2 linked regions of the Elephas maximus indicus genome follow. The protein of the gene in region 1 interacts with the protein of each later gene in a biochemical or structural test. Links are inferred from orthologs where the notes say so. Each region holds a gene or a part of one and is shown in the gene's direction. Other genes may lie near its edges.

Region 1 (8,025 bases):
TGTCATACTGTGGAGGCTTGTGTGTGCTGTGATGCTGGAAGCTATGCCACTGGTATTCTAATACCAGTACGGTCACCCATGGTGGTCAGCTTTCAGCTGAGCTTCTAGACTAAGACAGGCTAGGAAGAACGATCTGGTGGTCTACTTCTGGAAAAGAAAAAATAGCCAGTGAAAACCTTATGAATAGCAGCGGAACATTGTCTGATATAGTGCTGGAAGACGAGCCCCTCAGGTTTGAAGGCACTCAAAAGATGACTGGGGAAGACCTGCTGCCTCAAAGTAGAGTCAACCTGAATGATGTAAATGGAGTCAAGCTTTCAGGACCTTCATTTGCTGATGTGGCACGACTCAAAATGAGAAGAAACGGCTGCAAACATCCATTAATAATTGGAACATGGGGTGTACGAACCATGAATCTAGGAAAATTGGAAATCATCAAAAATGAAATGGAATGTATAAAGATCGATATGCTAGGTATTAGTGAGCTGAAATGGACTGGTATTGGCCATTTGGAATTGGACAGTCATATGGTCTACTATGCTGGGAATGGTAAGTTGAATAGGAAAGAGGTTGCATTCATCGTCAAAAAGAACATTTCAAGATCTATCCTGAAGTACAACGCTGTCAATGATAGGATAATATCCATATGCCTAAAAGGAAGACAAGTTAACACTACTATTCAAATTTACACACCAACCACTAAGGCCAAAGACAAAGAAATTGAAGATTTTTTACCAACTTCTGCAGTCTCAGATTGATCAAACATGCAATCAGGATGTATTGATAATTACTGGTGGTTGTAATGTGCAAGTTGGAAACAAAGAAGCATCAGTAGTTGGAAAATACAGCCTTGGTGATAGAAATGATTCCAGAGATCACATGACAGAATTTTGCAAGACCGACAAATTTTTCATCGTAAATGCCTTTTTTCAACAACATAACCAGCGACTATACATGGGGATCTTGCCAGATGGAAAACACAGGAATCAAACTGACTACATCTGTGGAAAGAGACAATGGAAAAGCTCAATATTATCAGTCAGAACAAGGCCAGGGGCCAACAGTGGAACAGGCCATTAATTGCTCACATGCAAGTTCAAGTTGAAGTTGAAGAAAATTACAACAACTCCACAAGAGCCAAAGTAGAACCTCGAGAATACCCCACCTAAATTTAAAGATCATCTCAAGAACAGACCTGATGCATTGAACACTAATGACCAAAGACCACACAAGTTGTGTAATGACATCAAAGAGGCCATTAAAAGGACAGGAAAAGAAAAAACCAAAATGGATGTCAGAAGAAACTTGCTCTTGAATGCTGAATAGAAGAAATGATGAAAGAAAAGAGCTGACCAGAAGATTTCAAAGGGCAGCTCAAAAAGACAAAGTACTATAATGACACGTGCAAAGATGTGGAGCTAGAAAACCAAAAAGGAAGAACACGTTCAGCATTTCTTAAGCTAAAAGAACTGAAAAAAAAAATTCAAGCCTCGAGTTGCAATATCAAAAGATTCAACGAACAAAAATACTGATTGACGCAGGAAGCATCAAAAGAAGATGGAAGGAATACACAGAGTCACTGTACCGAAAAGAATTGGTCGATATTTGACCATTTCAGGAGAAAGCATATGATCAAGAACCGATGGTACTAAAGGAAGAAGCCCAAGCTGCGCTGGAAGCACTGGCGAAAAACAAGGCTCCAGGAACTGACGGAATACCGACTGAGATGTTTCAACAAAGGGGTGCAGTGTTAGAAAGTAGTCACTTGTTTATGCCAAGAAATTTGGAACACAGCTACCTGGCCAACTGTCTTAGTCATCTAGTGCTCCTATAACAGAAATACCACAAGTGGATGGCTTTAACAAACAGAAGTTTATCCTCTCACAGTTCAGCAGGCTAGAAGTCTGAATTCAGGGCGTCAGCTCCAGGGGAAGGCTTTCTCTCTCTGTAGGCTCTGGAGGAAGGTCCTTATCATCAGTCTTCCCTTGGTCTGGGAGCATCTCAGCACAGGAACCTCAGATCCAAAGGACGCACTCTGCTTTCTTGGTGGTATGAAGTTCCCATGTCTCTCTGCTTACTTCTCTCTTCTATAACTCAAAAGAGATTGGCTTAAGACACTGTCTAATCTTGTAGGTCTCATCAATATAACTGCTGCTAATCCGTCTTATTACATCAGAGTGATAGGATTTACAACACATACGGAAATCACATCAGATGATAAAACGGTAAACAATCATACAATTATACAAGGGAATCACGGTCTAGCCAAGTTGACAGATACTTTTGGGGGGCACAATTCAACTCACGACACCAACCAACTGGAGGAGAGCCATATTTATGCCTATTCCAAAAAAACGTAATTCAACAGAACGCAGAAATTATCCAACAATATCATTAATATCACATACAGGTAAAATATTGCTGAAGATCATTCAAAAGCGGTTGCAGCAGTATATTGACAGAGAACTGCGAGAAATTCAAGCCAGATTCAGAAGACGACATGGAAATAGGGATATCATTGCTGATGTCATATAGAACCTGGAGGAAAGTAGAGAACACCAGAAAGATGTTTACCTGTGTTTTACTGACTATGCAAAAGCATTCAACTGTGTGGATCATAACAAATTATGGATAACATTATGAAGAATGGGAATTCCAGAACACTTAATCGTGCTCATGAGGAACCTGTACAAAGACCAAGAGGCAGTTGTTGGAATAGAACAAAGAGATATTATGTGGTTTAAAGTCAGGAAAGGTATAGGTTAGGGTTGTATCCTTTCACCATACTTATTCAATCTGTATGCTGAGCAAATAACCCCAGAAGCTGGACTATATGAAGAAGAATACGGCATCAGGATTGGAGGAAGGCTCATTAACAACCTGCGTTATGCAGATGACACAACCTTGATTGCTGAAAGTGAAGAGGATTTGAAGCACTTACTGATGAATATCAAAGACCACACCCTTCAGTATGGATTGTCCCTCAACATAAAGAAAACAAAAATCCTCACAACTGGATCAATAAGTAACATCATAATAAATGGAGAAAAGATTAAGTTGTCAAGGATTTCATTTTACTTGGATCCACAATCAACACCCACGGACGCAGCAGTGAAGAAATCAAAGGACGCATTGCATCGGGCAAATCTACTGCGAAAGACCTCCTTAAAGTATTTAAAACCGAAGATCCTCCCTTGAAGACTAAGCCATAGTGTTTTCGATCGCCTCATATGCATGTGAAAGCTGGACAATGAACAAGGAAGACTGAAGAATTGATGCCTTTGAGTTATGGCTTGGTGAAAATATTGACTATACTACGGACTGCCAAAAGAAGAAACAAATCTGTCTTGGAAGAAGTACAGCCAGAATGCTCCTTAGAAGCAAGGACAGGGAGACTTCGTCTCACATACTTTAGACATATTATCGGGGGGATCAGTCCTTGGAGGAGGCCATCATGTTTGGTAAAGTAGAGGGTCAGCGAAAAAGAGAAAGACCCTCAACAAAATGGACTGACACAGTGACTGCAACAATGGCCTCAAGCATGACAAAAATTCTGAGGATGGTGCAGGACCAGGCAGTGTATCCTTCTGTTATGCATAGGGTCTCTATGACTTGGAACCGACTCAAGGGCACCTAACAAGAACTCTGCTAGAAGTCCCTGGATGGTACAAATGATTAAAATGTTCAGCACCTAATGGAAAGGTTGAAAGTTCCAAGTCCACCCAGAAGTGCCTCAGAAAAAAGGCCTGGCACTCTATTGCAAAAAGCCAGTCATTGAACACCCTATACAGCACAGTTCTACTCTGACACACAAGGGGTCACCAGGAATCAGCATTAACTCCCCATCAACTGTTTGGTTCCTTTGTGCTGTCTACTCACACTTACCCTATAGTGAACTTGTGGAAGGGCTCAAAATAACACACGAGACTCACCCTTCTGAGCTTACAATCTGCTTGCTTCCTGGCCTCAGTTTCCTCAGTTTTTCTGGATCTCTTGGGTACTAAACTAAGGGAAAGAACCAAACTGTTGGACAAAGTCACTCATTCAACAGCAACTATTTATTGAGCATCTACTATTTGCCAGTCACTGTGGGCCTCAAGAAAACCCTGGTTGTGTAGTGGTTAATGTTTAAGTGCTACCGCTGCTAACTAAAAAAGGTCAGCAGTTCCAAGAATCCACGAGGCACTCCTTGGAAACCCTATGGGGCAGTTCTACCGCCCTATAAGGTCGTTATGAGTCAGAATCGACTGGACAGCAGCGAGTTTTTGGTGGGCCTCATTTTTGTCATCAGCAAACGTGAGATTGTTTTTCTTCAAAGGGAAACCATGGGCTCAGGCGGGACAATTCTTGTGAGGGTCTGTCCCCAGCATTGCAGGACACTACCTACTATCCCTGCTTCCCACCGTCTAAACGTGGGGGAATCTTCCCTCCGTCGCTGAATCAACCCAAAACACGCAACCCCACCCCACCCCGCACATTTCCAACGGTCCCTAGGGACCAATACCGGCATTCAGGAGCCTGGCAAGGGGGAGGCCCAATTCCTGTTCCGTCATTGGCAAATTTAGGATGACACCAAGGCCCCAAAAGAGCGGGATCTGGACCACGTTTCCGGGTAACAGGCCCTTACACAGCCTCCAGGACAGCCCCAGGTCATGAGGCTCTCGCTTCTGACTCCTGGGTCCCCGGCTGGCCACACCTTTTTGCAGGTACTCCCTACCTGGCCAAGATCCAACCCATGAACTTCAGGTTTCCGTTCCCGGCCGAGTTTTTGGGTCCTGGGAGGACGGAATAGACTCGCCCTCGCCCCCAACTGTCGGCCCTCGGGACGCGAAGGGTTAAGGCAGGTGGCCGCGCAGAAGCCGCGCCGCCGCTAGAGGGACCCCAGCAGAGACACAGCGCGGCCGCTCTGAGGTCACGTGGGGCAAGGGCGGGCCCAAAAAGGGCTGGCCAATGGGCTGTGCTGTCGCTGGGCGTGATAGCCAATAGGAGCAAGGAGCGGGGATCCCAGGACTAGGAAGAAACGGCGGCCGGGAGGGGGCTGCTGGGATCATGGGGCTTCTGACCATTCTGAAGAAAATGAAGGAGAAAGAGCGGGAGCTGCGACTGCTCATGCTGTATCCTCCCGGACGGCGGAGCCGCTAGGGTAGTGGGGTCCCAGCCGGGGGGCAGTGACAGACGCCCCCTACCGGGCGCGGGGTGCGCGGCCGGCCAGCTCGTACCAACTGCCCATTGTGCGTCACGCACGTGGGCCCTACCAATCGCTCGGGCTGGGGCCGAGAGGAGGCCGTACCATCGGCTCGGGGAGGGGGGACTCCAGTCCAGAGGCCAAAGGTGTGGGCCTAAAGGCGCAGCGGAGGGACCAGGCGTCCCAAGCGTAGCGGGGCGATAGGGCCCGGAGGTGACTCAGACGTCACCGTCCGGAGGCCTGGCACGAGCGTGGGACCGCTGTCCTCCCGGCTCTGACCTCTTCCCCCCTGTCCGAGGGTGCCGGCCCCGGCCCCGCCCCCAAACTCGGAATCCCGGGGACGCGGCCCCGCCCTCTGCTCCCGGGGGGCGAGGGTTGGTTCCGCTGGGCGGTTTGCTTGCGGGCTAGACTGTGTGTGACACCCCGCGGCCCCTCGGTGTCCCCGAAGCTGAGGACTTGTTAGCCCCAGGGTCCCTGCATTCATTCACCCTACTCTGTGTGGCGCAGTGGTAAAGAGTTCCGTCGTTAACCAAAAAGGTTGGCAGTTCGAATCCACCAGCCGCTCCCTGGAAACCCTATGGGGCACTTCGCGCCTTTCCTATAGGGTTACTATGAGTCGGAATCCACTGGACAGCAGTGGGAGTTTTACACTGTGCCGGGCCACGTGGGGCATCTGAGACCCACTAGTTGGGCCAGCAGAGAAGTCGCTTATGCGCGCAAATAATTTAAAAATATGCCCGCCGTGTTCATTTTAAAGATCCCGGAGAAAGGCGCAGAGAATTCACTCATTCAAGAAATACGTATTTATGGAGCGCCTCCTGTGTGCCATGTTTGCTAGGTAAAACAGCAAAACAAAGTTCTGTCCTCTTGAATGTTATAGAATGCCTGAGGGGAGAAAGATGATAAAACAAATAAAATATTTTTTGTGGGGAGAGAAGAATGCCGTTAAAATAGGGTGAGCCAAGAAAGGCTCCTGGAGATGACGGGTGAGTAAAGTGAGGGGTGAACTGTGTAATTACCTGGAGAAGACTAGTCAAGGCAAAGACAAGGGCAAGTGCAAAGGGCCCAAAAGGAACTCAGCTGGTGCGTTCAAGGGCAGTGTGACTGGAGAGAATGAGCAGGGAAGAGAGCACTAGAAGATTAGGTCAGAGGTGTCTGGGGAAGACAGTCCAGGCAGGGTCTTGTACAGAGGAGAAGAGTGGTCTGACTTTGGCTTCTGTGTTGCAAATAGAGGACATGGGTTAAGGGCAGAAGGGGGAGACCAGTTAGGGGTCAATCACGATAATGAGAACGAGATAGGATGGTGGCTTGGATCAGAGTGGAATCATCATAGTGATGAAGTAGGAAGGTAATGAGAGAGCAGGCAGGAATTGCTCCTGGATTGGCCAACGGTGTGAGAAAGCAAAGTCAAGCCTGACTCTTGGCTTTCTGGCCTGAGCAATTAGAAGAATGAGGAGCCTAGCTGACAGAGAAGACCAGGGCAGAGCAGGTCGGGACAGGGATGGAAGCTGAGAGCTCACTTGGCCATGTGAGATGCCTCTGAGACATCCCAGGAATGTCAGGGAGGCAGCTGGGTTTTGGGACAGGTGACCAGGGGAGCAGCTGGGCGAGAGGCATCAATTTGGGAGTCAACAGCATAAAGATGGTATTTGCAGTCAGGATCCTGGATGAGCTCACCTAGAGGGTGAGTGTGACAGAGAAGAGAGTGAAGTGTACTCCGTCCAATCAAGAGATCAGGGTGATGAGGAGGAGCAGCCAGGAGATATGAGGAGGCCCCAGCGAGGACATGTCTCAGAGCAAGGGCAGCATGGGTCAGGGAGTGAGAGACAGGCAGGTCTGTCAGGTGCTGCTGGTAGAGCTGGAAGATGGGAACCAAGCACCGACCAGCCATTGGAGAGCACAGTGGAGGTCTCTGGGGACTGACCATGGCAAGAGCAATTTTAGGGAGGCAGAGGGAGCAGAAGCCTGATGGAAGTGGGCTCTAGAAAGAGCAAGAGGGCAGATTGGGGAGAGTGATGGAGGCAGCGTTTCGAGGAGCTTTGCTGTAAAGGGAAGGAAATAAACAGCTAGCTGGAGAAAGGAGAGGGAACAAGAGAAGGTTTTGTTTGCTTTTTCTAAGCGGGGAGTAACAACAGTGAGGTTGTCAGCTGATGGGAATGATCCCGTGTGGAAGGAATCATGGATGATGCAGGGAGAGGGGAGAAATATCAGCTGCCAGTTATCAGGGGCCGTGGCTGGGTTTCAGGGCAGGTCCTCTCATCACCCCATTTCATGGCTTGAGTCACTTGCCCCAGGTAAGGTGAGCAATAAGAGGCTGAGCCCAGGGCCTGTGTCCCTCCACACACACACACACGCACACACACACACACACCACACACACACCACACAGAGCTACAAGTCCCCGTAAGTGTTGGAAGGAAAGAGGAAGGTTGTCTCTCCCACTTGGGGAACTCACCATTCCTTTGCACACTCATTCAGCAGTAAAGGGTTTGGTACATTCCAGAAACAACGAAGAAAGGGTAGGTGCCCCCAGTTATTTGCTCCTGCTGTTCCCTCTGCCTGGAATGCCCTTCCCCAGTCTTTCAGAAAACTGACTCCTTGTAGTTCGGGCCTCACCTCAAGACACCTTCTCACAGAAGGTGACCTTCTCAGAGCCTCATCATTGGGTTTCTGAAGCTCACCAGCATCTTAAGTTTCTCACTGGTTTGCACTTTTTCAGCTGTCTCCTTGCTCAATTGTGAGCTGCCCAAGGGTGGGGACTTTGTCCTCTTATCTGGGGTGCCCCCAGCATCCAAAAGGGGGCCTGGCATGTAGTAGATATTCAGTAAACATTTGTGGAA
Region 2 (7,820 bases), on another chromosome or scaffold:
GTCAAGGGAGCTATGAGCTTAGATGCAGACGAGTCAGACAGCATAGGCATTCAGTGAGCACAGAGTAGTTTAGCGTGGCTGAAATGATGATGCTGGCAAGGCAAGCAGCAAATACCAGACTGTTCAATAAGGACCACATTATGGAGTTTGATATTAATGGGTAGACTTTAAAAAAAATTAAGCAGAGAACTGACTTGAGATCAGATTCATACCTGTGCTTAAAACTAGGTATAATAATGTGGGTACAGTGTGGCAGTGGCCAAGAGAGCAAAGGGGGTCTCTTAAAGAAGATTCCAGGGGCATTTTGGGACTTAGGACCACACTCCATCCATCTGGCACATCTTGGGAAAATACTGAGAGGTCCTACACCACAGAAACCCAAGACTGGAGGATATCCCAGAGAGTATTAGTTGGGGAAACTGAGGCCCAGGGTGGGTGACCAGTGAGTTAGAGGCTGGCTTGGAGCTAAGATCTTGGTCTGGTGTGTTTGGTGTTCGATCTGCTCTTCTCTCTGTCCCACAGGGTCCAGCGCTGCTTCCCTCTACCCTGTGCTCAACTTTCTACTGTACGTGCCTGAGCTTGCCCACTCCCCGCTCTACATTCAGGACAAGGATGGGACTCCAGTCGCCACCAACGCCTTCCACAGTCCCCGCTGGGGAGGCATTATGGTAACAATCACACTGCAGACCCCAGTGCCCAAGCTTCAGGGATAGACAGATGATCCCTGAGACCGTTCTTTCTGTTGCCTCAGGTGTCCTCTGTGGCCTAGTCTGCGGGAGAGGCAGGCACCAAGGAGGCAAGGGTGCTGTGTGCTCCTGTCCTCCCTCTGCCAGCACCACTCTCTTGTGTTTGCCAGTGCTGATTGATGGCCAATATGACCCTTTTGCACTTGGCAGTTTGCACTTATTTAGGACTATTCTGTGAACATCTTAGGTCCTGGCCCTATTTGTGGGAGTCTTGCAAGGTTAGGAGCTTTGCCTCCCTTTTAGCCTGGGAGTTTCTCATAGCTTAGAACTATAAAATAAGATTTAAAAAATGTATTTGACAGGACGTTTGAGGGAATAATTGAGGTACTTTATGTAAATTCCTAATAGTAGTTGTTGTATGCTGTCAAGTTGATTCTGACTCATAGCGACCCTATAGAACAGAGTAGAACTGTCCCATGAGGTTTCCTAGGCTATAAATCTTTATGGGAGCAGATTGCCAGGTTTTTCTCCCTCGAAGCTGCCAGTGGGATGCCATTTTTGCTTAGCAACCAAGCACTTACTCAAAAAGTATTAGCTATGCCATCAGTTTTATAGCTTCCAAAGAACAGAGACTGTGTTTTCATTTTCTCTCATGACCTCCAGAGTGCCTAGGGAAGAGCTGTGCATAGTCCTGATGTAGTGTTATGGTGATCTCCTTCCCCCTTTCAGGTATACAACGTTGACCCCACAGCCTACAATGCCTCGGGGCTGCCGGTGAAAGTCGAGGTGGACATGGTACAAGTGATGGAGGTGTTCCTGGCTCAGCTGCGGTGAGGCCCTGGGTGTTCCATTCGGAGGGCATGGCCACTGAGAGACTGACCACAGTCTCCTTGGCTCTAGAGGGGGATTGCAATCAGAATGAAATCTCCCTTGCCAGGGATACCTGGGCTATGCCTAGAGCCACCAGGAAGCCAAGAAAGCTTTCCAAGAATTGCTTCATCCTTTTTCTAAGTAGGTCTGGTTGCTTGCAAAACCCAATTTAAGAAAGGTAGACATGAATGTCAGGTCCATGAGGCATGATTAGTTGTGCTTAAGAAAACAGCTATTAATTCATTGTACTAATTGATTGATTATGAGAGTGGCTGCCTGAAGTCCTGTGTGTCTGGCCGCATCAGAAAAAGAGTATTCTTCTGATTGATTAGCAATGTCTGGCATGGGTATAGGACGAGAGGCATAGCACACATACCTTTTTGTTAAAGATGGTCCTGGATCATCCCTTAACTCTTAAGTCCCAGTGGCCCCATTTGTCCAAAGAGAGGGTAAGGAAGGGTGAGGGGGTTAAACTCAGTTGGTGTTATCAGAAGTTTTTTAGCCCTGGAAGCTTTCTTCAAACAAGGTCTTGGATGGCCAATATAGAAACAGGTGAAAGTGGAAACACTCTGGGGAAAGCAGGGTTTGGGGCTCTGGATTGCTTGGTGGTGTTGCTCACTCTTCAAGACTCTGAGACACTTCCCCACAACCCCTATGGTTCAGGGTAAGATTGAAGTCATTGACTTAGGGCAGATAATCCAGGAATCTTAGCCATCTTCTCCCACCTTCTGGTCTCAGCCACCTTGATCTTACTTGGCTGTTCCTACAGACTGCTCTTTGGGATTGCTCAGCCCCACCTGCCTCCCAAATGCCTGTTTTCGGGGCCTAAGAGTGAAGGGCTAATGAGCTGGGAGCTGGACCGGCTGCTCTGGGCTCGGTCAGTGGAGAACCTGGCCACGGCTATGACCACCCTCACGTCCCTGGCCCAGCTTCTGGGCAAGATCAGCAACATTGTCATCAAGGATGATGTGGCATCTGAGGTACGTGGGCAGGGACGGATTCTGTGGCCTAGAACTGGAGAGGTCAGTGAGGGCCAAAGTATATGGTGCAACCGGAGAGAGCCATCTGAGGTCCAGGGTGTGTGTGAGCATGCCATCCTTGAGTGCCCCAGGCTTCCTCTAGAGGGCAGTGCCAGCCTCAGGAGTCCAAATGGGAATGAGAGGTTTCAAGCAGACCCTAAGAAATACACACATAGCCCTTTTATACTGACCTCCATTTATCCTGGGTGAACTCCAGGCAAACTCCCTGGTAGGCCAAAGGCAGGTTAAAGGCCAGCCCCTTCCCCACCATGCCTAGGACTTATTTTAACCCTCTCTCTCCTTCCTAGGTTTACAGGGCAGTAGCTGCAGTCCAGAAGGCAGCAGAGGAGTTGGCCACTGGACACCTGGCCTCTGCCTTCCTTGCCAGCCAGGAAGCTGTGACGTCCTCAGAACGTGCCTTTTTTGACCCCTCACTCCTCCACCTCCTGTATTTTCCTGATGACCAGAAGTTTGCCATCTACATCCCACTCTTCCTGCCTATGGCCGTGCCCATCCTCCTATCCCTGTTCAAGATCTTTCTGGAGACCCGCAAGTCCTGGAAGAAGCCTGAGAAGATAGACTGAGCAGGGCAGAATCTCAGTAGGAGCCCTTCTTTTCAGGCCAGGATGGGAGGTGTTAGATTGAGAGGCACATAAATCGGGCCTGCTGCGAATGACCTGTTTCCAGCCTCTGTTGCCTTTCCAGCAACCGAAGTGCAATACTCCAAGATGGATTCATCTTCCCTTTCCATTCCCCGGGCTCAGGTCTCCCTGCCTCCCCACTCCTCATACTCTCCGGAGTGTCATAGTAGCATCACCTCGGTCTCCTTATCTGACCTGAACTTGAAGATACCTGACTACCTCCAGCTGGGGCAAGGACAGCTTGTACTTCTACCCTGTTTCTCAACATAGCACACTCCTCTTGTTACCGAGAAGGCAGCATGAGGGAAAGCCCTGGTTGGATCCTTCCACCCTGCACAGTTTTCTCTAACCCCTCAGGGAGAGCCCCAGCACTGCTTTGCTGGAAGGGGCCCAGGCACAGGTCACTCGGGGGCTCCTCCCTTACGCCTCTCCTTCCTGGCTTGCTGCGCCTGTTGGGTACAGCCAGACAGACAGGAGTCCAGAAGGCAGCAGCTCAGGACTTGGTGCTGTGTGTGGCAGAGGCTTGGGCGGTATGGTACAGTGGAGAAAGTTCCAGAGTTGAAATCAAAAAGGCCTGAATTCCTTGCTTCTGCATTTATCATCTAGTGAGCTCCCTCATTTGTTAAAATGGCACTAATGACACCTCCCTTAACAAGGTTGTTGTGCAGATTAGATGTGATAAATCATGTGAAAGTGTCTGGCATCTACTAGGCTCTCAATAAACATTGGTTGAATATGAATTGAAATGATATGAAGTATGGCTATACTTTTAATTCTTCATTTACGTGTAAGTAATCGTTTTCTGGCATCTATCTTCCTGGGCTCACAGGTCCACCTTGCCTCTATCTGGCCATGTGCCCTTCCTGCCCCTCTGTCTTGTAGGGCTCTGGTGGCCCGACACCTGGGCCGTTGTCCGTCTGGGTGTCCTGGGTTGCCCAACAAGGCTGTTAGCAGCTACGTCTGCTTTTTAGCAGGGAACTGAGAGAATAGCTTATACCAGTGAAAGCCCTCAGGTACTAGCTCATTCAACAAAGGAAAAGTTATTGAGCACAGGCCTCAGTGGGCTTCTGCTAGGTGCTGGGGCCATAATAGGGAACAAAACAGTCCGCTTTGGCTTAGCTGGTCTTTGAGGGGGAAGAGACTGAGCAAATAAAAATAGTTTCAGTTATGTATTAGAAAAAAATGAACTAATTGGTTAATGATTGGGGGCGAGGGGGGTGTACTTTAGTTTGGATGTGAGGTATGGCCTTTGACATTTAAGGTGAGACCAAAAGGACAAGAAGAGGTCATATAGGGGGAGAACACCCTGGGCAAAGACTCCAAGGCTGGAGTTCGCTTGAGGACTGTAAGGGCAGTGAGAAGGGCACAGGGACTGGAGCGCAGCGTGGAAGGAGAGGTAGGCAGTACCTCCCTGAATTACCTTCCAGAAAATGAATGAAGCCCAGGGCCAGCCCTCACCCTAGCGGGGATGAGAGCCCTGGTGGGCGGTCCCCAGACTCCCGACCCCGGTGGGCCCTGCGCGTGGGCGGAGTCAGTGCCGGACCCAGCCCAGAGGAAGGGCCGGGGGGCCGGGGCGGAGCGGTACCTGGGGCCCCGGCCGGGGCGGGGCTGCGGCCGCTCACCCTTCTCCCGGCTCCAGCTGGCTCAGGCAGCGGCGGCGGCGGCGGCGGCAGCAGGCGAGGCCATGAAGGTGAAGAAGGGCGGCGACGGGGCCGGGACGGGGGCGGAGCCCGCTCTAGGGGCCTCAGGCCCGAGCGTGGAGCCCAAACCTGAGCCGAAGTCGCAAGCGGAATCCGAATCCGGGTCCGAGTCGGAGCCGGAGGCAGACCCGGGGCCCAGGCCGGGGCCACTGCGGAGGAAGCAGCCGATCGGGCCGGAGGACGTGCTGGGACTACAGCGGATCACGGGCGGTGAGCACCGGCGAGGAGCGCTGCCCGCCGGCTGCAGGGAGCAAGAGCGAGAAGGGGGACCCTCTCGTTGCGCGGGGCCCGGCCCCCGCCCCCCTTCCCGGCTCTCTCCCCGCATTCCCTCCCCCTTCTTGGCCCCCTCTTCTACGTTTGCTTCCCTCCCTCCTGCGTCCAAGCCTGAGGTCTCCATGGCCCCCCTTTCTTTGATCTCCCTGGGTACCCCTCCTCTCCCTTTTGAGGTATATTATTTTGGGGGACGGGTTCATTCCCTTTCCCATGGTGAAGGTCGGGCAGCAGCTGCAACTATGGCCCCTTCCCCGCGGAGTCCTCAAAGCCCCTTGAGGCCTGGCTCTGCACTGATGAGGAGTGGAGTGAGTGTAGCCTGTCCTCAGCCCCTGCCCCTGGAGGCTAGGTGGAGACTGAGCTGCTTAGGTGGACTCAAGACTACTGAGGTCTTCCTGACCATTAATGCTGTCACCCTGGACCCCCCCCAGGAAGACTGGGGCCATCCCCCACCCCGGAAAAGAAACTGAATGGGAAGCCTCAATGGGTTGGCTCTGGGTCCTGACAGGAGTGGGTTAATGCTGGCGAGCCTGGGCCAGGATCTGTACTCCTTCAGTGCTGCAGGACTCCAATCAATGGAGACCTATTCTCCACTGTGGTTAAGAGTTTCTGAGCCAAACTGGCTGGATTTGAGTCCCAGCTTTGTCACATAGTTGGCTGTGTGACCTTGGACAAGTAACCTCACCTCTCTGAGCATATTTCTTCATCTGTAAGATGGGTTTAATAACATCTACCTCATAGGGTTATTGCGAAGATAAAATTAACCTTCTGACTTTACACAGTGCCTGACACACTGCTTTGTAAATAGGGCTCTTTTGTCAACAGTACTGAGGGTACCACACAGGCTGTTCATGGCTGGAGGCAAACTGGGCATTCAGGCATTCAGGAGGTCACCATGGGCAAGGGACAAGGGCTAGGGGACTTCATGAAGGAGGACGTGGCAGAGTCTGGAAGAACGAGAGGCATTTGGGGAGGCAGTAGCTCTCCACCTTGGCTTCATTCATCAGCTGCCTGCTCTGGCTCCCTCTGCGACAGCAACGGTTGGGGCTCTTTCTATGGGGGTGGGGAACAGGCATGGGGACCTGAGCCCTGGAGCTGCAGAAACAGCAGAGCCTAAGGCTCCCAGACAGAGCTGTGGAGGGGACCATGATGACGGGCCTGGGCCTGTGCAGCTAGGTCTCTGGGGGTCCAGCTCTTCCCTCCTCTCTGAGCCAGGCAGCAGCCATTCTTGGCTGGGCCCCTGGAGGGCTGAGCTCCCTTGCTCAAGCGGGCACTGGTGGAGGGAGGGGGTCTGAACCAGGTTGATGTTGATGCCAATTGGGCTGTAGTTGGCAACAGCAGCATTTAGGGTTCAGCTTATTTCTGGGGCAGAACTTCTTCACAGAATGTCAGGAGCTCATGCTGACCTGTTTGGCCTGCCTGAGTTCTTTGTAACTACAGGGAGCTCCCAATCCACGTCCCATGTACCGTGCGTCTCCTCTTGTGAAGGAAATTCATAGCCCATAGAGACAGGGCATCTGTAAGTAGGGGAAGGGATTCATGGGAGCTCTCCCCTCTGCAGAATTGAAAACAGGGTTCCAGGGCTGTCTGCCCTGGCACTCCCTGCCTGGTCCCTTCTGACCCTAATCACACAGGTCTGAGGCTTGCTGTTCCTGGATTATCGGGCCCTGAATCCAGCTTAGGAAACTATTTGTGGCTGAAGCGAAGAGAGGAGTTGTGCTCTGAGCCCCGCTTCCCTCTTGTTCTAGCCTGACCCTGAGTGCCAGGCCTCATCCTTCCCTGGCAGAAGGGAGGGAGTGGCTGCGCTGTTCTCAGCTATGGGCATCCCCCGCTCCTCACTTCCTGTAAGGATGAAGGGGTTGATAGGTTGAGTTTGCAGTCGGAGAGACTGAGTCAGACTGCAAGAAGTTGTTACAAGTGAGAGGAGAGGCCCCAGAAGCTGGAGAGTGGGGAAGAAGAGAGGGCCTTACCAGGGGCTGGGAGCTGGGTGACTAGGATCCAGTTCTCAGCTTTGCTACCTCCTCTCCCTCTGCCCGGTGCCTTCTTTCTACATCTTTGGGCTAGTGCTTTCTGTGATGACAAGGTGTGCACAGGCTGGGGATAGGGACTGCCCACTGCTATTCCCTTCCTTTCTCCTCCTGGGCTGTGGTGGACAGGCCAGGGCTCAGGCCCCTCCTCAAGCCTTGTGTAGTCCCTGCTGGGCCCCAAGGTGACAGATGGCTGCCAGGAGGGCTTCCTGGAGGGAGCTACCCCAGGCTTGGGGAAGAGGCAGGCTGGGAAAGAGAGAATGACTTTATATTCACTTCCTCTTCCTGCCCCAGAGGAATAGGAGGTGGCCCAGGGGCCTGGGGGGTGATTTCCGGGCCTCTAGGGGAGGATGTGGTGCTGTGCGGGCTGAACTCACTGCGCCCCCCACTGCACCTCTCTGCCTCTCCCTATTTGTTGCCAGGGCCTCTCCAAGCGCTTCCAGTTGCTGCTGCAAGAGCAGTGATGGTCAGGGCAGGACTGGCCTATTCCCAGAATTCTTCAGCAGGGCCCAACCACAGCTCTTGGTTCCCTTTCTGGACCTGAGAACTCCCCTTACCCTCATCCACACTCCTCACCACACCTGCCACGCCCACTTCCTGGCCTAGC

The links. The genes of interacting proteins can lie anywhere in the genome.
Region 2: the proteins of ARL2 (region 1) and UNC119 form a complex in vitro, tested with the Homo sapiens proteins (2 studies listed by BioGRID and IntAct, with this or other methods). The link is inferred for Elephas maximus indicus from reciprocal best matches to the Homo sapiens genes ARL2 and UNC119.

Annotation. Positions count from the first base shown.
Region 1 is NC_064825.1:128,183,869-128,191,893, forward strand, and holds the start of ARL2 (ADP-ribosylation factor-like protein 2), read left to right. Parts: upstream 1-4,959; 5' UTR 4,960-5,049; coding exon 5,050-5,114; intron 5,115-8,025. Other genes in the region: BATF2 (basic leucine zipper transcriptional factor ATF-like 2), read right to left, coding at 3,933-4,005, 4,718-4,737. UniProt on the Homo sapiens protein: Small GTP-binding protein which cycles between an inactive GDP-bound and an active GTP-bound form, and the rate of cycling is regulated by guanine nucleotide exchange factors (GEF) and GTPase-activating proteins (GAP).
Region 2 is NC_064837.1:23,334,053-23,341,872, forward strand, and holds the start of UNC119 (protein unc-119 homolog A), read left to right. Parts: upstream 1-4,812; 5' UTR 4,813-4,900; coding exon 4,901-5,126; intron 5,127-7,820. Other genes in the region: PIGS (GPI transamidase component PIG-S), read left to right, coding at 523-668, 1,416-1,516, 2,326-2,536, 2,884-3,159. UniProt on the Homo sapiens protein: Involved in synaptic functions in photoreceptor cells, the signal transduction in immune cells as a Src family kinase activator, endosome recycling, the uptake of bacteria and endocytosis, protein trafficking in sensory neurons and as lipid-binding chaperone with specificity for a diverse subset of myristoylated proteins.